Linked DNA regions of Alligator mississippiensis. The protein of the gene in region 3 purifies or fractionates together with the protein of the main gene of each other region. This does not show direct contact. Links are inferred from orthologs where the notes say so. Each region holds a gene or a part of one and is shown on either strand. Other genes may lie near its edges.

What was found. Proteins that work in one complex are often made in the same cells at the same time.
Region 1: the proteins of SAP18 (region 3) and EIF4A3 fractionate together in Homo sapiens (co-fractionation; 3 studies listed by BioGRID and IntAct, with this or other methods). This does not show direct contact. The link is inferred for Alligator mississippiensis from reciprocal best matches to the Homo sapiens genes SAP18 and EIF4A3.
Region 2: the proteins of SAP18 (region 3) and SRSF1 purify together in Homo sapiens (co-immunoprecipitation; 4 studies listed by BioGRID and IntAct, with this or other methods). This does not show direct contact. The link is inferred for Alligator mississippiensis from reciprocal best matches to the Homo sapiens genes SAP18 and SRSF1.

Annotation. Positions count from the first base shown.
Region 1 is NC_081824.1:234,479,191-234,486,298, forward strand, and holds the start of EIF4A3 (eukaryotic initiation factor 4A-III), read left to right. Parts: upstream 1-4,055; 5' UTR 4,056-4,123; coding exon 4,124-4,286; intron 4,287-5,317; coding exon 5,318-5,390; intron 5,391-7,108. UniProt on the Homo sapiens protein: ATP-dependent RNA helicase. Involved in pre-mRNA splicing as component of the spliceosome. Core component of the splicing-dependent multiprotein exon junction complex (EJC) deposited at splice junctions on mRNAs.
Region 2 is NC_081837.1:6,053,421-6,061,385, reverse strand, and holds the start of SRSF1 (serine/arginine-rich splicing factor 1), read right to left. Parts: upstream 3,054-7,965; 5' UTR 2,931-3,053; coding exon 2,737-2,930; intron 2,354-2,736; coding exon 2,169-2,353; intron 1,893-2,168; coding exon 1,720-1,892; intron 1,447-1,719; coding exon 1,252-1,446; 3' UTR 1-1,251. UniProt on the Homo sapiens protein: Plays a role in preventing exon skipping, ensuring the accuracy of splicing and regulating alternative splicing.
Region 3 is NC_081824.1:433,379,507-433,386,752, reverse strand, and holds SAP18 (histone deacetylase complex subunit SAP18), read left to right. Parts: upstream 1-4,147; 5' UTR 4,148-4,194; coding exon 4,195-4,266; intron 4,267-4,345; coding exon 4,346-4,455; intron 4,456-5,627; coding exon 5,628-5,750; intron 5,751-6,436; coding exon 6,437-6,593; 3' UTR 6,594-7,005; downstream 7,006-7,246. UniProt on the Homo sapiens protein: Component of the SIN3-repressing complex. Enhances the ability of SIN3-HDAC1-mediated transcriptional repression. When tethered to the promoter, it can direct the formation of a repressive complex to core histone proteins.

The DNA.
Region 1 (7,108 bases), about 200 Mb from region 3:
CGCGCTGACCCGCCTCGTCTTCCCAGCCCGCGCCTCTGGCTGTGCAGCTGCCCCCTGGCACGGCTGAGCCAGGATCCGGGCCGGGCACGGATCATAGAAACTTAGGGCTGGGAGGGACGTCAGGAAGTCATCAGTCCCACCCCCTGCTCAAAGCAGGACCATCCCCAGCTACATCATCCCAGCCAGGGCTTTGTCCAGCCAAATGAGAGATGCAAACACAACAGGTGTGTCCGCTGTCCCACGGCTAACGTGTTGTTTCCTTCTTTCTCCTGCATCTTTATTGACTCTTACATCTGATCTCCATCGACTGGAGGCCATCGGAGAATGGGGAGTTTCATGGCTATTGTAAGCCTGAGCTCATCCCCTGTTGGGGCACTGGTCTGCCATGCAGTGGAGGGAAGCACTGTTCCTACAGGAAGGTATGAGGCTGTGGAGTTACCTCCTCCTGCCTCTCTGGCTTTGTCCCCATGATTCTTTATTCCCAGTAATCCATGGATTGTAAACAGAGGTGGGAATAGGAGCTGCTGGGGTTGTGAGACCAGAGAGGGCCCAAGAACAGGCTAACCATTTATGAGATCCCTGGAAGCACGCCTCAGGTGAAAGGCATGACCTGAATTCCATTCAACAAAGGATTTCACCTGTGTGAAGCCCAATAACTTGGGTTTGTCTTCCAGAAAAGCATCCCACCCCAATCTGAAGATAAGAAACAAAGAACCCACTTTGTCCCGGAGGGTCCGCAACCTGTAAACTAGGATTTACAGCACATCAGGTCAGCCTTGGTGCATGTCCCCAAATGCACGTTAGTCTGGCTTGATGTGCATCAAGGTGCCACTTCTTAAGCAAGGCTTAATGCACATTAGCTTATTTGAATGCACAGGAAATAAAAAGCACAGGGCGCCTATACAGAGGCTGCTTCAATGCAGTGGAATTCCAGCACCTCAGAACAGACTTGATGAATCGAGTCTGGGCAGGGCCTGTTGCTGGAGCATGGCAACTGCTACACTTCAGCAGCACTGTACCTAGACTCCTGGCAGCTCTGGACGAACTTTCCCCCTTTGCAATAATAATTAAAAAATTACTGTTTTCAGGCCCCCTTTCTGTCCAGGCCCCAGGCGGCCACCCATTTTGCCCGAGCCCATAGGCAACTAGTAGGGCAAGCACAGGGGAGCACATGTCCCTGCTGCTGACACTGCCGGTGACTTCTGTGGGTGCTTGCCAGCTTTGTCCCTGCCACTGATGCCACTGGCAGCTTCTGCGGGTGCTCACCAGCTCCATCCCCGATGCTGATGCCGGCTCCTGCAGATGCTCGCCAGCTCCGTCCCCACCATCACCACCGCTGCCAGCTTCTGCAGGTGCTCCCCCAGACTTAGGAGGCACCAGTCGCCCATGTCCATGCCTGTGTCCAGCCCTGCACTCCAGCAGCCTCCTGCATCTCATGTATCAGTGTCCTGATGCTTAAAAATGGTGTTGGAACAAGCTTTAGTTCAAGCCCCCTTGACACTGTTTTTAAGCACAGGGATGCGATACAGAAGACACAGTAGCTATTGGAGCTGCTCTAATTAAAGTGCCATCTCCCCCACCAGAGCACATGTAAAGGTGACCACAGTTTTTATGTGATGCTTTATGTGCATTAAAATAGGCTAATGCACATTAAAGTGCACATGTAGGTGTAGATGTGCCCACTGAGTACCTTTTCTGGTCCTTCACAATTTGGGCCCGATCCAGTACACACCAAAGTCAAAGGAAAGACTCCTGGAGACATGGACAGCTCTTTCCTTTGAGACTAGCCAGAAACTGAGGAAGATATAATAGTCATCATGTGTCAAGGCCTGTGATGTTGAAACTAAAAATGGCAGGTACATTGTTCTACCAATAAAAAGCTCAGCCTATTTGGCATACCAAAAGGAGAATCTGCTGGCAGTCAGGATATTATGTTCAGGTTCACAATATGATCCCACCTGTGTCCCTGGGCTCTTCAGGCTTGGTCCCCACTCAGAGATACCTAAAGGCAGGGCAGGAATAAATCATGAACCAAGCAAGCCTGGGGCTGGTACCCAGCTCTTGGAGTCATCTGATGATGCTGGCAAAAGAGAAATAGACTGATAGGGCTCCCCGTATGGCTTCCAAAAATGAGAACCCCCCCAAAAGAATAGTTTCTAAAGCAGCAAGACCAGGCATGTCAGGCAAAAGTCCTTGGACTGTGTCTCTGCCAGAGAAGAGCAGGTTTGGATTCAAAGGACCCTAAAGCAGTGGTTCTCAACCTTTTTTGTACCAGGACCCATTTGTAAACATCAATGGCCAGTCTCTGCCCAGTGCCCTTCACTCCTGACCCACTTCCCCCTGCCCCCCAGTGTGTGGGGCAAGGGGTGTCTATGGAGCATGGGGAGCCCCAAACAGCCTGTTGCAGGCTGGAGCTCTGCCAGCCTGCAAGGGAAAAGGCACAGTTTCCTATGTTTTTCTCTTTTAAAGGAGAACCCATTTTTAAAGTTTGTTCGCAACCCTTTCAAATATTCTTTTGATCCACTTTTGGGTTGCGACCCATGGGTTGAGAAACACTGCCCTAAAGGACAATCTTTGTGCCCCACTTCTGAATTTTTCAAGCATGCTGGTCTAGGAACACTGTCTGCTCCTTTTCCCAATTGTACTTGTGTCTAGGCCTTTGGTCTTTTATTTGCTGGGAAGTTTCTTCCATCATTTCAAGCATCTGTGCATGCACCCTGAGAATCCCCCAGGCCAGGACTCTGTGGGGCACTTGCCTCTCTTCTTGTGGAACCCACCAGGTGCTACCAACACTCAGAGGAAACCAGCATATCCCACATGCATAATGCCAGAACTATTGAGCATTTTTACATGCGTTTCCACCCTGGCGCTGGGCGCTTTTAATTAGTGAGCCGTGCTAATTAAAAGCACCTGGTGCCACGTCAGGAGCACATGTATCAGCAGTGCAGCGTGCCTCTGCACTGAGAAAATAGCAGCAGTGCACTTTGAACTAAAGCACATTGAACGTGTTTTAATTCAAAGCGTACCGCCACCATTTTCTCAGCGCAGAGGCACGTTGCATGTGACACGCAAGGCTGCCAGAGCATGTCAATTTACATAAATTTGATCCAGCAGAGTTGATTAATTGAATCTATGCTGGCGTGCTGGATTTCCAGTGCATCGGAGCAGGCTCCTTGCACGTGTGTAAGTGCTCATTCTATCAGGCTACAGAGCATCTTGCAGGGCATGAACCTTTGGGCATAAATACACATGGGCGACTGGTGCCTCCTGAGTTGGGCGGGCACTTGCCCCCCCCTCCCCCCAGTGGCCAGTCAGCGACCTAAGTGGGGAATGCTGGCTGTGTGAGGGGTGCATGTGCACCCATTTGCGCCACTGTTTATACACATATTTTTCTGTCCCATGACCAGCTGGAGATCCACTGCTTCAGAGTCTGCTCTACAGGCGAGCTGAAGCAAACCGCGCTGCACCCTGTGCAGCTGTACAAGTGGTAAAATGTGCATCAGTGCACAGAAAATGGCAACGGAGAACTTTTGAACGAAAGCACCTCCAATGCGTTTAGTGCGCCACTGCCCTTTTCTCAGCGCTCACGCTCATTTTGCCACTTATACAACCTCAAGTGTTGCAGTGCTGGGCGCTTTTCAAAGTGCCCAGTGCTGCGGTGTTTGGATGTGTAAAATGCCCTTTGTGATTGGGGAATAATGGGAGACGAGGTTCTTTGGGTAAACACGATATTTTTTATTAGACCAACTAATGAATAAATATGAATTTATCAGGCCAACTAACGAACAATAAAATTTGTTTTTAATAATAATAAATGTTTTTCCCCCAGTTCATTGGGTAACAAAGCCACACAGGAGCCCCCTCCCCTGGCTGGCTGCCCGCACGGCAAGCCACCACGCTCCAAGCAGGACACCGGCCCCTTGCGGCAGTGAGGTCCGCGCCTGCGTCTGAGGAGCTGCTCAGAACTGCTGGCAAGAACGGAGAGTATGCGCGCATGCGCCAGCGCTGGGAGGCAGGGAAGGGCGTACGCTCCGTGCGGCTTGACGTTGCTACGCACGCACGCACGCACGTGAGGCGCCCAGTTCCCGGTCGGAGCGCGGAGGCCGCTGTCGGAGTGGCGACTATGTCGGGGGCGGCGGGCTCGGCGGGCTCGGCCCGCAAGCGGCTGATGAAGGAGGAAGACATGACCAAGGTGGAGTTCGAGACCAGCGAGGAGGTGGACGTCACGCCGACCTTCGACACCATGGGGCTGCGCGAGGACCTGCTGCGCGGCATCTACGCCTATGGTGCGCGGCTGGGGCAAGCCGGGGAGGGGGAGCAGAGGGCAGCGCGTGCCGGGCCGTGTGCGCACGCGCGGAGCTTCCCGGGCCCGCGCGCGCCCCGCTTCCGCCCTGCCGGGGAGCCGTCCTACCCCTGGCCCTAGCGATGTTTGACAACCCTTGATCCTCTCGGGTTATGGTGTATGCACGAGAGGTCGCCCAGAGGAGATTTGGGCTGGTCAGACCTTGCATCCCCCCCTTTAGGGCACTGAGACAGAATCCAAAGGTCAGACTGGGTTTAGGCGCTTGGTGCCTCTGTGACTGTATTTGTGTAAGCATCTGGGATTTGAACCCAGGTCTCCTGTATGGGTGATAAGGAGTCTATTACTGAACCACAGGGGCCTCCAACGGGAGGTGTAGGAAGACATCAAACAACATGGTGTCAAGTTTGTTCTTTCTAGAGAGCCCAATGTGGGGGAGCTATCCAAGAAGAGAGAAGAATGTGGACACAGTTTGCTGAGAGACAATGCAAGTTGCAATTCTAGGGTTTCTCTGGACATAGCAGCTAAATGATTGCAGTGCACTGCTATCCTGTGCACTTTTGTATCACTTTAAACTAGGCTAATATTGCTGCAGCTTGTTACATCTGCAGAAGTCAGCTGTGCTGAAGTGGGGCAGGTGCCCCTATGTACAAGTGTCCAGGCACCTTTGTACTGACCTAACCAAACTGGCTGAAAACCATCAAGTTAATGGAACAGTCCCTACGTCAGTGCTTCCCAAACTTTTTCTCAGCATGACCCCACTTATGACTCCATTTCCTCAGCATGGCCCCCCACTCCCAACCCAGATCCCTGTTTATTGCGACCCCATTTGCTGATGTTGCGACCGCATTTGGGGTCACGAACCACAGTTTGGGAACTGCTGCCCTACGTGCTTCTGAAAACCCACTTCTTACACTTGGCTTCACACATCAGCTTTCAAATTATTTGAAGCGCTACTTCTGTGCACCTGTGAGCAGGCATTTAAAAAGGTGTCTTATATTATTTCAAATGTTGCAGGTTTTGAGAAGCCATCGGCGATCCAACAGAGAGCAATCAAACAGATCATTAAAGGAAGAGATGTGATTGCACAGTAAGTGAAATTATGTGATTGAAGGAAGAAAATAATATAACATGTTTGTCTTTATAAAGTGGTAGAATGATGTACCCGTGATGATCCAGGAATTATGCAGGCGGCAAATTCTGATGAGAAGTGTCTTGTATTCAAAAGCTTGTCTAAATGTATTCCAACCATGCAGATGGGCCAATAAGATATCACCTACACAAAATCCTTGCCCCTCACATATCTTTATAAAGGTGCTCCACACAGGAAAGAATCAGTTGTTTATTTTTTTTAATATAAGTATTAAAGTATAACCAAGGAATAATATAACAGTTATGGATATGTTTTTTAGAACTCAGAGTTGCCTATTTTAACATTGTAGTTCAGTGATCTACAGCCTTTTTAAGGTGAAGATCACTCTTTGAAGTAAAGGGCAGTCCAGGATCTATTGTGCCCCACTCCCACCATCCTCCCACCCAGCAGGTCAGTCTGTAGGAGGAAGGGGGGTAGGGGGAGGCAGATCGAGGTCCCCACGGTGAGGGAGGGAGGGAGTGGGGCAGGAGGGAGTGGGGTTTCGGCTGGGCTGGGGAAGGGTTGGAGCATGGGTGGCTTGTCCAGGCACATAGTGGGGGTGTGCTGTTGCACTCGCCCCTATGGAGGCCCGGGGGTATGTGCCCCCCCCCGATCTGTGCACAGGGCGAGGTGGCTGCTGCTGCACACTGGGCTTTGTGCCCCAAGCTGCAGCAGGGCTCGGGGCACAAAGCCTAGCATGCAGCGGCTGCTGCCTCACCCTGCACACAGATCGTGGGAGCACATGCTCTCCGGGCCTCCATGGGGTGCATGCAGCAGAGGGAGACCCCCCGTGCGCCTGGATGAGCCACCCTGGGCTCTGACCCTCCCCCAGTACAGCCGGGGCTTCTGTCACCAGGTGGCAGGGGGTGCGGAGGAGGATTGTGTCACTCATCCAGCCTGGCCCCAATGACGGGGCATGGCTCAGCCCAGCCACATGCATCCTGCTGCTCCCCACGTGTGTCCCGCTCCTCCTTATTGCGGAGCCTCTGACAGTTGATCTTAGTCTGGGTGGGCTAGCAGCCACCCCCTCTTCCCCCCAGACTGAGATCAACTGTCAGGGACTTCCAGACCAACCAGTTGATTGCAATTGACTGTTTGGTGATCACTGTTATAGTTAATACATTTTTGGTAGTGTACACAAGCAGTCAGCAAGAAGATATATAGGATGCTTCACCACGGTGTTGTAAGGAATATGGCACAATAGTTAAATGCACTGTAAGTGTGAGAACTCATCCACATGTTAACTCCTGAAACTTGTTATAAATGCAAGCATTGGGGAAAGTAAGTGCAGTTGCATCCACAATATTAAATCCTTATTTTGATAAGCTCCCCACCCTGTTTTCAACTGTAGCTGACAAGCAGCTGAGATGGGCTTTGCAGTTGATCTTTTTTGTCAACCAGGCATATCTGGTGGCTTTAAGTTGAACTACATGAGGAGAAAAAGCTTGTTCTTCTCTCCTTGATAATGAGTCATTCATGGAGAAGTAGGGCTGGATGGGACCTCCAGAGGTCATCTAGTCCAACTCCGTGCCTGAGGCAGGATTATCTCTATCCAAACTATCCCATAGATTGATGGATTGAACACTCAACAGCTTTTTAAAAAATCTGCTTGTTTTTGTCTATAGGAGTTTATTGGCCCTGGGAGACTGACAAGCCTGTCCACATTTGGAGGGTTC
Region 2 (7,965 bases), on a different chromosome or scaffold from region 3:
AAATGTTAATTATTTGGAGGAAATACTGTAATATTTACATATGTTAACTGGTAGCGCCAACATAAGTCATTGCTTGCATGGTGAATTACAGGTTTTGTGGTTGTAAAAAAAAATGTTTATGAAATTGGAAAAGTTGACTGCTAAAGCTATCCACCTACTGTATGTCTAAACTAAAGCTAGTACTCCCATCTGGAGGGTAACAAAATTAACTGCTTTCAAAACATATCAGTGAGTCAATTGTGCATTAGTCTGAAGGGGAAGGGTTGAGATTTAAGGAATTCTTCCCAACTAGTTTCATTTTTGCTTTCATTCTGATACTTAAAAAAAAAAATGAAGTAGCAACGCTATATCAGTCACACAGAGGACATGCAGATTTTAGCAGTATTGATATTATACTCTGATTTGAAGATACCCTGAATCTACAAAGTGTACAAACACTACGCAACGTTAACACTTGTAACCAAATGCTGCATGACAAAGTGAACCGCTACGCCCACCCCCGGAAGTTCTTTTAAAAAAAGTAAAATGGAATAAAGTTACAAAAGCAAGTAGTTTTTGCCACAATTGCTAACAGGGTTTTAAGGAACAGAGCAATTGTAGTCTACAATAACTAAAACATGCCTGAAAAAGTTACAAGTAGATGTAAGTACTCAATTAACCATTGTCATTCAGTATAAGGTCAATACTGCCAATTTCATCTGTGACAATAGCACTTGGAGTCATACCATTGCCTCCATTATTGATCTGATCCTCCTCAATCCTCCTTTTGACAATCCTAAAATGATTGACATGTGCTCCACAATCCTTTAATCCAAAGCATTCTTAATCCATCTCTTCAGATATGTCTACAGAAAGACACATGAAAAGGCAAGGTAAAATATAAGATCCCCCAGAAGAGACAAGTTAGCCACAAACATCCCAACATCCCCAGCTCGTATAAACCATAGCTGAACACTGAGACATTTACACAGCAATACCACAGTCTGAAGAGTGTGGGTATTTACTAGAACTAAATTTAAACAATCCTGACTATGACATCAATTAAAATACAATTTACCAAAGACATGAGGGGGGAATGTTGATGTTAAGGAGCAAATACTCACTAGGGATTTTACACAAGAATGCAATTCAACACTTTAGCCAATTTGAATAAAACAGTCTGAATTAAAAAAAAAAAATGAAAAGACTGTACTGAGTAAAGAAAATTGTGTACAACATGGGTTCTACAAAAAGATCATAGCTAATGGTCATTTATGTACGAGAACGAGATCTGCTGTGACGGGGAGAGTAGCGTGGAGATCCTCTGCTTCTTCTTGGGGAATAACTGCGGCTTCTGCTGTTGCTTCGACTACGGCTCCTGCTACGACTACGGCTGCGTGACCGAGATCTTCCATAGCTTGGGCTTCTTGGGCCATCAACTTTAACACGGATGTAGGCAGTTTCTCCCTATTAAATAGACACAACTTTCGATTGAAGGGTCTAAGCTTTTCAGCTGTCTTTTCAGGCATGCTGAGTACATTAAGTAAGACACAGTCTTTTAAATAAAAGCTGCTCTGTTTCTCTTGTGCTAACGAGGACTGCCTTACAATAAACCACATCAGACTCCATTTTTTCTATGGGCGCCAGCTGACACAGTTGAGCCTTCACTTCCTTACCTTCAGCTCCCATTGTTAAGCCCTGTGTATCCAATTCTGGCCCCAAAATAAGCAGGGAACCTACCTCATGAGATCTAAACTTAGTGTTATCCAGTTTTCGCACCGCGTAGGTCATATCTTCTTTCCGCACAAACTCCACGACACCAGTGCCATCTCGGAAAACATCAGCATAACATACATCACCTGCTTCACGCATGTGATCCTTCAAATCCTGCCAACTCCCACTTGGAGGCAGTCCTGAACAAAAACAGGTCGCAAATTACCCGGGACGTCCACGGGGTTGTTTATGACCCAGCCGCGCCGTTACGTGCGGCCGGGCACAGCAGGTGCCTAGGTGATTTGAATAAATTACCCCCCGGGGGAGGCTTTCGAGTGCTATAAATAATAAGCGAGGGCTGCGTAACGAAGCTCCTCGGGGGAACGCAATCCCGCGTGGCTCAACAGCGTCCCCGGGGGGAAAGCCGCCCCTCGCCCCGCCCTCGTACGGCCGCCGGGGAACGGGCGGGATCTTACCCGAGACGATGACTCTGTACTCGGAGCGCCGGGACGGGGGCCCGTACCTGCCCCGCGGGGCTCCGCCTCCTCCGCCGCCACCACCGCCTCTGCCGGTGCCTCGGCCGCTCCGCGGGAACTCCACGCGCAGGCGATACCCGTCGTAATCGTACCCGTCCCGTCCGTACACCGCGTCCTCCGCGTCCCTGCGAAGCGGGGCGGGGTGAGCGGGGCCTGCCCAGCCGCGCCCCCGCCCTTTGTTCCCCCCCCACACTGCTTTCCCGCCGGCCACGCCCCAATTGGGGGGGGGGGCAAATGGCAACATCCCCATGCTTGGGGGGGGGGCAACAAAGTGAGAACTCCCCCCATGCCTGGGGGGGGGGCAATAAAACAGGAACAACCTCATGGTTGGGGGGGGTCCAGGCAGAAACAGCCCCCATGCAGGGGGGAGGGGCACAATTTAGTAAGGGGGTCCGAAGCACCACGTGGGGGGGGGGTTGTGAGGGGGTCCCAGGCACCATGTAGGGGGGGTCCCAGGCCACGTGCAGGGGGGGGCGGTATAGCGGGGGGGGGCGGTCCCGGCCCTCACCGCGGGTCCTCGAACTCGACGAAGGCGAAGGGCGGGCCGCCGCGGCGGTTCTTGAGGTCGATGTCGCGGATGGCGCCATACTTGTAAAAGACGTCCTCGATGTCCTTGGTGCGGATGTCGGGCGGCAGGTTGCCCACGTAAATGCGGCAGTCGTTGTTACCGGCGGGGCCGCGGATCACGCCGCCTCCGGACATGGCAAGGTCAGCAATGGCTGCGGCGGGCGCGGGCCGGAGCGCAGAGAGAGAGAGAAAAGGTAGCGAGCGGGCGAGCGCCGGGCACGGAGCGGACGAGAGGAGCGAGCGCGCGACGGCTGCAAACACGGCTGCAAAATGGCGCCCGCCGCTCCCTCGCGGTGTTGCTGCGCGCAAGGATCCCGCCGCCGGTCGAAGCACTCCTTCACCCCGTTCGGACTGCGTCGCGGTGTCGCTCCGCTCGCACCGCGCATGCGCCGCCTGCAGGGAAAGTAGTCCCTGCCTTCAATTGCTTCGCCTAGACAAATGCTACCGTGGAGCTCGGCGGAGCGCCGCGCGCCGCGGATTGTGCGGCCTAGAGCCGGCCTTTGGGGCGTGAAAAGCACTCCTTTGCCCCTTCGCGAGGCGGAAGCCGTCACATCCGGTGAGGAGGCCCGGTGAAGAAGATCCGGCTCAGCTCCGAGGGGAGGGGGGCCCATAATGCAACGCGCGGGCAAAGGGCGGGGGAGCTTGGCGCCAAGGAGGGGCGTGGCCCACAATGCACCGCGCGGGGGCCTGGCTGCTTTATGTGCCCTAAGGGAGCCTGGGGGAGGGGCAGGGATAAGCAACAGCCTCCACGTTCCCCCCTCAGTCTGAGCAAGGGGTGCATTTCCCTCCTGACCCCACATCCAGCAGCGGCTCTGGGCATGAGAGAAGTCTGCCCAAGCCAGCAATCCTGTTGCATTGCCATGAGGCTGAAGTTGGTTGCTTATTCCCAGTTCCTAAGGCAGGGGGTCAAATAATGGGAGTCAAATAATAGATATATGCAAGCATGTTGGTGCTCTGGAAACCTCCCAGATTAAATTTGTGCAGGGGAAGGGGATCCCTGCCGATTTCCAGCACCGCGTCCGTGCCTTGTGCACCCTGCTCGTTGCCTTGGGGTGCTGGTTTCCTTGCTCTCCTAAACCCATCTCGACCGCCGCACCGTGCCTTTCGTGCCCTGCTCACTGGCGACACATGGGGGGCACGCGGGGGCACGCGCACCCCCGGAGATCGGCGGTGCACCCCCTGCAAAAAGCGCTGCTGATGCTGCTGGTGGTTGCCGCTTGCCACCCCCTTCACCGCTGAGTTTCTTTTGCAGAGGAAGGTAAATTTCCCTCTGAAATAAGAGGGGTAATGAGCAGAATGATCTGTCTCTAGGTGACTGGTTACTGCAGAAACCAAAGTGTACATTTCATAGCGCTGCTTATACAGGTGCTCCTCAATTAACGTCTTCCCAGTTAATGTAGTTTCGTTATTACATCGCTGCTCTGTTAGAGAACGTACTCGTTTGAAGTGGTGCAATGTTCGGTTATAATGTTATTCAGCTGCCACCTGCTAGTAGGTAGCTACTGTGACGTAACTGGATTCACTTAACATGGTTTCATGTAAAGTCGCATTTGTCAAGAACGTAACTACGACGTTAAGCAAGGAGTAGCTGTACTCCTATTCCTGGTTTGAGCAGTGTCTGTTCAGCTTCTTTCCCAGCGTAAGCGTTCACTACATTTTGGTTAGATCAAAATGGGGGAAATGGTATATCTAAGGGAAGTATCTTTCCAAGCTGCCTGTCTTTATCTACATGCCAATACAGTCACTCCATCTTAAACTATCAGCCTGACAGGGAACTGACACCTAAGTCAATGAAAAGCAAACTATACAATTTATGTGATGCGCTCATCCGTTCCTAACTAGACACAGGTTTGCTTGATTGTTTAGGAGAGCCGAGGGACCTTTATTTTTACGTCCCTTATTTCTGCAAGAGCTTTTCAAGGCACCTGATTTGGTCCCAGCAATTTATTTTTTTTAAATGCCTATTTAATTGCAGTCGCCAATATATTGACAAGGTCTGTTTCTCTTAAGGGACATCTTCCATTCTGCATTCATTATGTGCCATGTGTGCTGTTATACGCATCTTTTACCATGTCAGGTTGGTGCATAATGTGAAAGCTCCATAAGGAATTGTGGGGAAGGGAGAAAAGATTGGGAAGGAAATGGGAAGAAGCAAAAAATATATATCGTACAGCTTGTGGATATTTGGATGATGGTTTTTGCATACATTTTAGTATATTTTTCTGGTGTGTCATTCCCTCCCTGGTTTTTAACGGTGGACCTGAATACAAATGCTTCTGAACGTAAAAGGGGAATTTAGAAAAGAGCCTGGATCATGCATTAAGAACCCAAGACTAATTTTCAGAAGTAAGTTTAGCAGTTAGGCACAGGTCATCAAGGGTAATTAGGCACCCGACTGACCAACATGTGGGTCTTAGTTCCTGAAGTCAGTAGAACTTGAGTTCCTGAGGGCATATCTACCCATCCTCTGTGTTGGGCCTGGGTAATCAGCTACGAAGCATGCCCTTTCCATTAGGCACGCACCAAATCCCATCCTACAACAGTGCCTGAGTAAGCATCCCTGAGACAGGGAGCCTGAGGAGGTGCTGGGCATGCTCTTAGCTTGGCTTCAAGGCAGCTACATGGCTGCACTTTGGGGTCTGGGGTGCCTAGAGTGGGCAAAGTTAGTGTAGACATGACTTGTGTGCCAGAGGGACTTGGGTTTGGTTTGCACACAGCTTTCCTATCCATCTAAGTATTTGACTTAGGATACCTTTTTGATTTTTAATCAGTATAGTCACGTGTTCAAATCAGCAGGTCCAGATGCTGTCCACCCCAGGGTGTTGAGGGAGCTAGCAAGGGTTATTGCAGGGCCCTTGGCACGGCTTTACGAGTACTCGTGGTGCTCAGACCAGGTGCCAGATGATTGGAAGATAGCCAATGTGGTCCCCATCTTTAAAAAAGGGAGGAGGGAGGACCCAGGCAACTATAGGCCCATCAGTCTTACCTCAATCCTGGGGAAACTCTTTGAGAAGATCATCAAGGAGCACATCTGTGATGGGCCGGCATTGGGGATGATGCTCAAGGGCAACCAGCACGGTTTCATTAGGGGCAGGTCATGTCAGACCAACCTGATTGCCTTTTACGATCAGGTCACAAAAGCACTGGATGCAGGTGTCACCGTGGATGTAGTCTTTCTGGACTTCAGCAAGGCCTTTGACACTGTCGACCACCCCATCCTCATTAAAAAACTAGGCAACTGTGGCATTGATGCCTACACAGTCAGATGGATTGCAAATTGGCTGAAGGGTCATACTCAGAGGGTGGTGGTGGATGGGTCATATTCAACCTGGGGGGAAGTAGGCAGTGTGGTCCCCCAGGGCTCGGTCCTTGGGCCTGCACTGTTCAATGTCTTTATCAGTGATTTGGATGACGGGGTGAAAAGCAACCTGTTTAAATTTGTTGATGATACGAAAATTTGGGGTGAGGTGGGCACGCTAGTAGGGAGGGAAAGACTGCAGCAAGACCTGGATAGGTTGCAGGGTTGAGCTAACAAAAACAGGATGCGTTTCAATACGGACAAGTGCAGGGTGCTGCACTTGGGCAGTAGTAACCAGCAGCACACTTATGAGATGGGAAACTCCCTTCTTGAGAGCACGGAGGCAGAAAGGGATCTTGGAGTCATTATTGACTCCAAGATGAACATGGGCCGACAATGCAAGGTCACGGTTGGCAGGGCTAACCGGACCTTATCGTGCATCTCAGGTAGGGCCCAGGAAGTGATCCTCCCCCTCTACGCGACACTGGTCAGGCCACAGCTTGAGTACTGTGTCCAGTTCTGGGCACCCCACTTCAAGAGGGATGTGGACAACATTGAGAGGGTCCAGAGGAGGGCCACCCGCATGATCCGGGGACAGCAGGGCAGACCCTACAATGAGAGGCTACGGGACCTGAACCTGTTCAGCCTTCACAAGAGAAGGCTGGGGGGGGACCTGGTGACCGTCTATAAACTCACTAGGGGGGACCAGAAGGGTTTGGGGGAGACCTTGTTTCCCCTAGTGCCCCCCAGGAGAACAAGGAATAATGGCCACAAGTTGTTGGAGAGTAGGTATAGATTAGACATCCGTAAGAACTACTTCACAGGGCGGCTAGGATCTGGAACCAACTTCCAAGGGAGGTGGTCCTGGCTCCTACCCTGGGGGTCTTTAAGAAGAGGCTTGATGCCTACCTGGCTGGGGTCATTTGAGCCCAGTTTTCCTCCTGCCCAGGCAGGGGGTCAGACTTGAAGATCTACAAGGTCCCTTCTGACCCTACTTCTATGATTCTATGATTCATAGAATCCTTAGGGTGGATGCAGTGCATCTTTTAGTGGTATGGAGGGCATTTCAGAAACTAATGATGAAATAGCTGTTGTCTGCAATGAAGTGGGAAACTACACAGTAGTGGGGAATATTGATGGCAGTGTTGTCAAACGCACCAGTCGTTTACGATACATAGAGAAGATGTAGAAAAGTCTGTCCGATAAATGATTGTTGCACGCAAATTGCTTTATTCAAAATGGTTTTATTTTGAAATTGCTGTTATTTTCTGGAGCACCCTCATAGATTATCTCCCTTCCCTTAGTACAGTGGATTGCAACTTTTTTAGACTCGAGGCACCTTGGATAGATTTGAGGGACCTTTCAGAAAATGCCAGCTTAGTTTTCAGTCTTTTTTTTACAGAAAAAATAATGGAGCAGTTTTTCTGTTGCAAAGAATAGACCACAACTGTGCATTTCTACCAGAAATCTCTGGGTTTATTTTGTGAATCATGTTTGTAAACAAAGGATGCTAACATTGTGCAGCACCCTGCAGCACCCTTGAAGGGCTCCCAAGGGTACCATGGCACCCTAGATGAGAATCACTACTTTAGTACCTTTATTACAAGCCTAACTGTGTCCACACTAGGGGGGGTTACATGACTTTCAACTAGAGTTGAAGATATAAATTGGTACAACTGTTGTGAATGGATGAGGCCTTTAGGCTTTTAACTTGTTTGTGGGCTTTCAAAAACGTTCCCAACATTGTTAGCAGTGTCCATTTTCTGCTATGATTCATTTTCATACGTTAAGTAAAAATACATATTTCTGTGAGATAACAGCAATCATCGTGATACACCATGAAGAGAATATTTTCAGAGTAATGTAATTCTA
Region 3 (7,246 bases):
GGTAGGGGCGAGGACCACCTCCCTGGGAAGCTGGTTCCAGATTTTGGCCACCCTAACTGTAAAATCTTGCCTTCTGATCTCCAACCTAAACCTGTTCTCCATCAGTTTATGACCATTGTTCCCTGTCATCCCAGGTGGTGCTGGGGAGAAAAAAGCTCTGCCTATTTGATCCCCCCTGATGAGCTTGTAGGCAGCCACCAGGTCCTCCCTCAGCCTCCTCTTGCTGAGGCTGAACAGATTCAGGTCCTTCAGTCTCTCCTCATAGGGCCTGTCCTGCTGCCCTCTCACCAAGTGGGTGGCCCTCCTCTGAACCCTCTCCAGGCTGGCCACATCCCTTTTGAAGTGCGGCGCCCAGTACTGGACGCAGTACTCCAACTGCGGTCTGACCAAAGTCACATAGAGGGGGAGTATCACCTCTCTGGCTAGGACCAGGTCCAGCAAGGCATTACCCCTATTGGGGCTGTGCACTTCCTGGATAAGATGAAGGTTCTGTAATACAGCCAGGAACCTACGCGAGCAGTCAGACCTGGCTGTCTGCTCCTCCCAGCAAATGTCTGGGTAGTTTAGGTCACCCATGACAATAACATCCCTTGACCTAACCGCCTCCATAAGCTGACTGGAGAAGTCCTGGTCTAGCTCTTCCCCCTGGTTGGGTGGTCTGTAGTAGACACCCACTGTAAGGTCCCTTTCGCCACGTCTCCCTTGTAGTTTGAACATAGCTGTGCTGTATTTGTTGCAGCTGTTCTTTTATGATACCTGATCCTAAGCATACATTCCTTAAGTTTTGCAAATGGAGGTCTGTGTATTAAGGCCTAAACATGTATTACTGGGCCAGATATAACTCATTTTAACAGTGTAATGAGTTGCATTGTTGTCTTGGAAATTCCACCCTACAGATGGCAATGATGTTGAATTACTTCCTTTGATAATTCAAGTGATAATTATAACTTCATACCATAGGGTTGGCTTCTTTGTCAATATTATCTCTCACAAAAGGAAGGGAGAGGAGCGAGGGTACACTAACTTAGGTTTTGTTGGTTCTCTCGTCTTATTTTAGCAGTGGTATAAATCAAAATTAAAAACTCAGTTTGTATTGATATTACATTACAGAGAGCTAGAGATAATTAAAAAATAAACTGGGTTCTTTTTTCTTCTTTATGATGTGTGTAAAAGACCTGAAGGTAGGGAAGGAATTTTAAATTTTTTTTTGACTGTTTGGCCATTTTGTTTGACTGTCCTGAGTCCTAGAAATGCAAGTGCAAAAGTACAAACTGTAGCTCTACACCTTTATGCATGTGTATTATAATAATCAATGATGAGATCACAGGCTACTTTTAAAAAATGCACAACATATTTCATATATTTTCCAGTAGTGTTAGGTACCTGATTCAGATAAGCGCAAGTACAGGCTTATTCAGGGAAGCACTTTAGTTTATCAGTGCTTTAGATATGTAGGTATTGCAGGAGCACCCTTGTAAAAATGCCAGCCCCTGTTGCTAAACAGGAGACATAACATAACTAGGTTCATTTATTGCATCTCTCTAAAGCTCTGGTTTTGCTGGAATCATGCACATTCTTAGCTTTATGCTTTGAGAGTAGTTCTCCTTACAGAGTGCATAGTTAAGGAAGAGTATAAGCCTTTGCAGGATTATCATAAATGTGTGGTAGGTGAGGAGGCACAAAATTGTTACAAAGAATGATCTAGAAAAGAAAATATGCTAGACTATGATGATAATGGAATGGTTCTTTTAATTTTTTCTAAATCAACTTGTAAGTGTGAAGTTTTTTTTCTCACCCTCTTGAGCCTAGTTATCATCACTACTATGAAGATATGAGCGTAGTTATTTTATTTCTGATCCTCATACCAGAAACATACATTTATCCTGTTTCTGTGTTCCACTTGGCAGAGCACAACAGCTGATCTAAGACTGACATGATGCAATGTTAAATTATTGGAAAAACTAGGGTATAAAATAGATAGCATATGGACTTGGTTGTTCTAGTCTGTGATATTATGGGAACATTTTAAATGATTTGTTGAAATCCAATTTATTTTTAAACTACTTGTAGTTAAAGCACTTTATTGCTACATAGTTATCTGCTGTAGACATCTGTTAAAATCTTTACCCCTTAGAGAATTTTGTCTTGTTCTAGAAGCATAAATCACATTAGCTTCTTATAAGCTTTTCCATATATTAGAAAATGTTGGAGATGATTTAGCCCCCAAAGCTTGAGAATCAATTTGCAAACATGAAACCGAGCAGAACAAATGTAGGAAGCTATTTCAGAACATCAGTTAAACTTCATCAGCAAGTGACAGAAGTGACAGATACAAGACTACTTAGTATATAGAAGTGTTTCTACATTTCCCATTTAAACAAGTCTCTTTAAAGCCTGTGAAGTCTACCAGTGAAGTCCACCAATAAATAACAATGATGCCTTAAGACAAAACTACCAGGAACTTGGCTGGATTCAGGTAAAAGGCAACATAATGTATTATACATTGCAAAACAAAAATGAAAAATATCATTGACAGCCCTGCATATTCTACCTACAACAGGGGTGGGCAAAATGTGGCCTGTGGGCCATTCTATCCAGCCCATGGGGCCCCTAAAAAGTTTAGAAAATTAATATTTATCTGCCCCTGGCTGCCTGTCATGCGGCCCTCGATGGCTTGCCAAAACTCAGTAAGTGGCTCTCCGCCCAAAATAATTGTCCGCCCCAGCCTACAAACTACCACTGCCTTGAACCCACAGAGGCAGGCTCAGAAGCCTATTTAGTCATTTGTCAACATTTTGTTAACTATTTCACTGTTCATCATGGCATGTAAGAGAAGAGAAATCAAAGAACTGCACCATCCACTTGGAATGGAATTTAATGTGGATGCCTTTCCCCTGGCCTTTGAGAGAGAACTGGTGTCCTGTGACTCCTACTAGCATAACTAGTGGTGGCAGCAGGGCACCTGCCTTGAGCATTCACTTCGAGGAATTACCAAAACACCCCCATCCCCAGAGCCTTTGCTAGGGTAGGCAAACCCCAGGCACAGAAGCCTGGCAGGCCCCTGGGATTTTTGCTAAGGGAGGTACAGCTTCTGGCTCAGTAGTGTAGCGGGTGGGGGGGGTTGCGCACAAGGCACCGGGAGCAGCCCCTGGGCAGCCTGTGCTGTGGGGGCAGCCAGCACATGACATCCAGCTGCAGCTCCTTGGGGCTATCTCAGTACCTTGTTCACTGCCCAACCCCCTCCAGATACGTTCCTGGGCAAGGAGCTATACTTCCCATGGCAACGTGCCCTTGGGCGTACGCCGTTCTGCTCCCCCCCCCACACATACAGATTGGGTGCTGGCCTGCCCCCCATTTATCTTGCTGGGATCCTTTGACCCCAGCTGACTTGCTGCCCCTAGAGTGGGGGGCTGGACTCAAGATCTTCCAAGGTCCCCTCCAGCCCTAATGTCTATGAAATCTATGAAATCCTGCAAAGGCTTCTGGGCCTGGGCTGTGCTTGTCCTAGGAGACTCCCTCAGGGGGTCACTGGTGCCCCTGCTGTGGCTGGTGTGCGGGGAGCTTGCCCTTCAGCTACAGCAGCAGCTGACACCACAGCATGGGGAGGCTGGCGCAGGCAAGACACCCCTCAGCCCTGGTGCACCAGTTGCTGGCACTCCGCCCAGGGCACGGCAGGCACTTGTGACACCTCTGCTTGCTCCCATGTCACGTGTTGAGGCAACAGGCCATCACGGAGGACGTGTGAGGTCCACATGAGCCAGCACTACCCCAGCCACCCTGAAACCAGCTGCAGGCTATGTGCTTCCCTGGTGAGTGGGGCCTCTCCCTGCTCTGCTGCCTGCCTGCAGGCTCAGGAGCACGTTGCTTGCCCCCCCCCCCCATGCTTTCCACCAGGCCCCACCCCCTTCACGGCCAAACCACGCCCCCTTTGGGCACGAAACCCCACCCAGCAGACCAGGTCTGTCCCTGTAAACTGCGCATGCGCCGAACCATCTCCCCGTTTGCCACTGTGAATTGCTCATGCGTAGAACGATCCTCCCTCTCCCCTCCCTCGCGCGTGCGGACGCCCGCCCCGCCTTCTCTTTGCTGCGCATGCGTACGATCCCCATCCAGCCTCCCGCGAGCTCTCGCGAGAGGGGCAGTTGAGGCTGCACCCCAGACATCCGGGTAACTTCCTTGGAGGCCGGAGCCGAGATGGCGGTTGAGTCTCGCGTCACGCAGGAGGAGATCAAGAAGGAGCCGGAGAAGCCCATCGACCGCGAGAAGGTGCCGGCGGGGCCGGGCCGGGCGGGGCGGGGCGGAGAGGGGCCGCGGGCGGCATTGACGGGCTGTGCTCGCCTTGCAGACGTGCCCGTTGTTGCTGCGGGTCTTCACCACCAACAACGGACGGCACCACCGCATGGACGAGTTCTCGCGCGGCAACGTGCCCTCCAGCGAGCTGCAGATCTACACCTGGTGCGTGCCCCCCCGCGGCCCTGCCCGCCCCGCGCCGCCTGCTGCTGACTGGGAGTCCCCCCCCCTCCCCGCCTGTTCTCGGTTCAGGGGGGAGGGAAGGATCAGCGGGGGCTCGTTCTCGGGGCTGGCGCTGGAGCTGGGCAGGTGTATTGGAGCCCCCCACACCTGGGGGCTGGATAACCCCCTTCCACTCCCACCCCCCTCCCATTGTGGAAACAGCAAGGGGCTGGGAGGCGGTGCAGACAGATGTCACAGAAGACGCTCTGCCTTCAGATGTCTTTATCTGACCCCTCATGCAGCGAGGGTTCAGGTTTTTCCCCTTTTCGGCCATTTTCAAAGCAGTCTGCGGCCATGCGCTTGTGTTTGGTCACGGCTGTTGCCTGCTTTCTGTGTCCGCGTCGGATGAAGAGTGTCACTTGTGTCTGCGCTCTTAGAAGACGAGAGCTGTGTTAGGAGTCTTGTTAAGTGTCAGGGCTAAGCCCTCCTTGTTCATGGAGTTGGGGGGGAGGGAGGGAGGGTTGGTCAGTTGCACCTACCCTAGCAAAGACTGATGGGTTCCTTGTGCAAGTTGCCTGACATCTCTCTCTCTCTCCCTCTTTTTTTTAGTTATTTTTTTCACTTCCTTAGTCTCTCTTGTAAGGGTTTAAAAAACAATACAAAAATAAGTGGTTTTATTGCTGTCAGCTGAAGATCCCTTTGTGCTCTGTAGTGTATAAATGTATAAAACCAGGTCAGTGCCCTAAAGAACTGTGTTCTGAAGTAGACTAGAAAATGGGTAGAGAGGTCACGGCAGTTTGGAGCGGAGCCAGGGTTAGACCCCAGACTTTCTGAGTATGAGATCACTACATGTTTGGGGGGTGGGAGGGAGGGGATATCCTAGCAGGTGTTCTAGTTACTAGTGAGTACTCATCCTGGACATGTTTTGAATACTTTGAATGTTGAAAGGAAAATACTTCAAAACCCAAAATACTTAACCACGAAATGCTTCTTGTGTCATTTAAATACATAAAAGTATTGAGTTATGCAAGAGAGAGGTGTTTTTAGAGTTGTCTATGATTTAGACAAAAAGTCTCACAGATGACATTTTTAGTAAGTGTAAGATTTTTAAGAACTTCAAATAAAAAAAGAAACCCTCCCCACCTTAATGATTTTTTTTTCTTTTTAAAATCTAGGATGGATGCAACTTTAAAGGAGCTGACAAGTTTAGTGAAAGAAGTCTATCCAGAAGCACGGAAAAAGGGAACACATTTCAATTTTGCCATTGTTTTTACAGATCTCAAGAGACCTGGTTATAGGTAACTGACTGAAGTCTTATTTGCAGTAACAGTTTATGTTCCATGTTGTATGAGAGAAGTTCTTCATAGTAACAGAGTGCATGGCAATCGCTTGTTAATATTTGATTTTTTTTTTTCAGTTACTATTCCTGTTTCTCTTTTCTAAAACACTGAGAAGTGTTTGCCTAAAGATGTTGGTCACTAGATTATCTGCCACCCAGAATACGCGCCTGTAGATAGGAGTGGAAACAAAAAGGCTGTTTCTGGTAGTAAGGGTAGTAACTGTATCACCATCAAGAGTTTGCTCTTAGCACAAATTTATTTTTTTTAATTAAAACTGGATAGGGACAGTTTTTATATGAGCTCACCAGAAACTAGTTGAAAAAGCAGGGGCTTGGGTCCTGCTATATTTCTTGCATTTTCTTTACCACTTCTCTTGTGTCTAACTTGCCAGATACTTCAAGCTCTGACAGGGGAAAAGTTGATGCAACTTTATTTACTTATTTTATGTCTAGTGTTGTATCAGAGAAACAGCTAATACTGTATTAAGAAGGGAGGCAACGTCTTTGTATCCCACTAACTGAGGAAAAACTTAACAGTTCATCCCCTTCAGATCCTGTTTAGTCTGCAAATCTCTCTGACATTAAAAAGAGACTGACTTGCTCTTTTGTTGTGTAATGAAATGACGTTTCATATCTTCCCTTCAGGGTGAAAGAAATTGGCAGTACGATGTCGGGAAGAAAGGGCACAGATGATTCCATGACGCTGCAGTCTCAGAAATTCCAGATAGGGGACTACTTGGATATAGCAATTACGCCTCCAAATCGGGCACCACCCCCATCAAGCCGCATGCGACCATATTAAAGTGTCATTTTTTTGTAGATGACTGTATCTTCCAGTGGGTTTCACATGCTGTAGGAAACAGGCCTTTTTTATTACTATTGCTAAGCAAGATCTGAAAACACTTCTAAGCCTTGACAACAAGAGTTAAATAATTAATTTTACTGCGTGAGTTTAAAAGAAACAGTATCTGAATCTGCTTTGTTATCTCTTCTTTCCTAGCTGTTATGATATGAAAAGTGAATAGAAATGTTCAGTGTTTCAAGATTTATGTAAAATGTGACTGAGAGCTTAGAAGTGCTCTTACCATTCTGTTAAAAGCCATGTAGAGTGGAATAACATTATTATTGTTTTGAACATGTTTCTGAGTTTGAAGACTAGATCAGGCCTGATTTAATGGTGGTTGAGCTTGATTAAAAACAAACCGCTCACAGGAGAGAGAGTGCTTTTCTTGACTGACTTGCTACCTAGCAGCATGTGAACAGTGGCATCAGTGGGAGAATCCTTGTGTATGATTACTTTCCAGAAGTAAGTCTCCAAACAACATTTTGTTTGTTGTTTTTTTTTAAAGAGTAATTATCTTTCCTTATCATCAAAGCAAACACGACCTATAAAAGTCTAGTTTTACTAATGCACCTGCCCATTTTAAAGGAAAAACAAGTATTCTTTATTTTTAA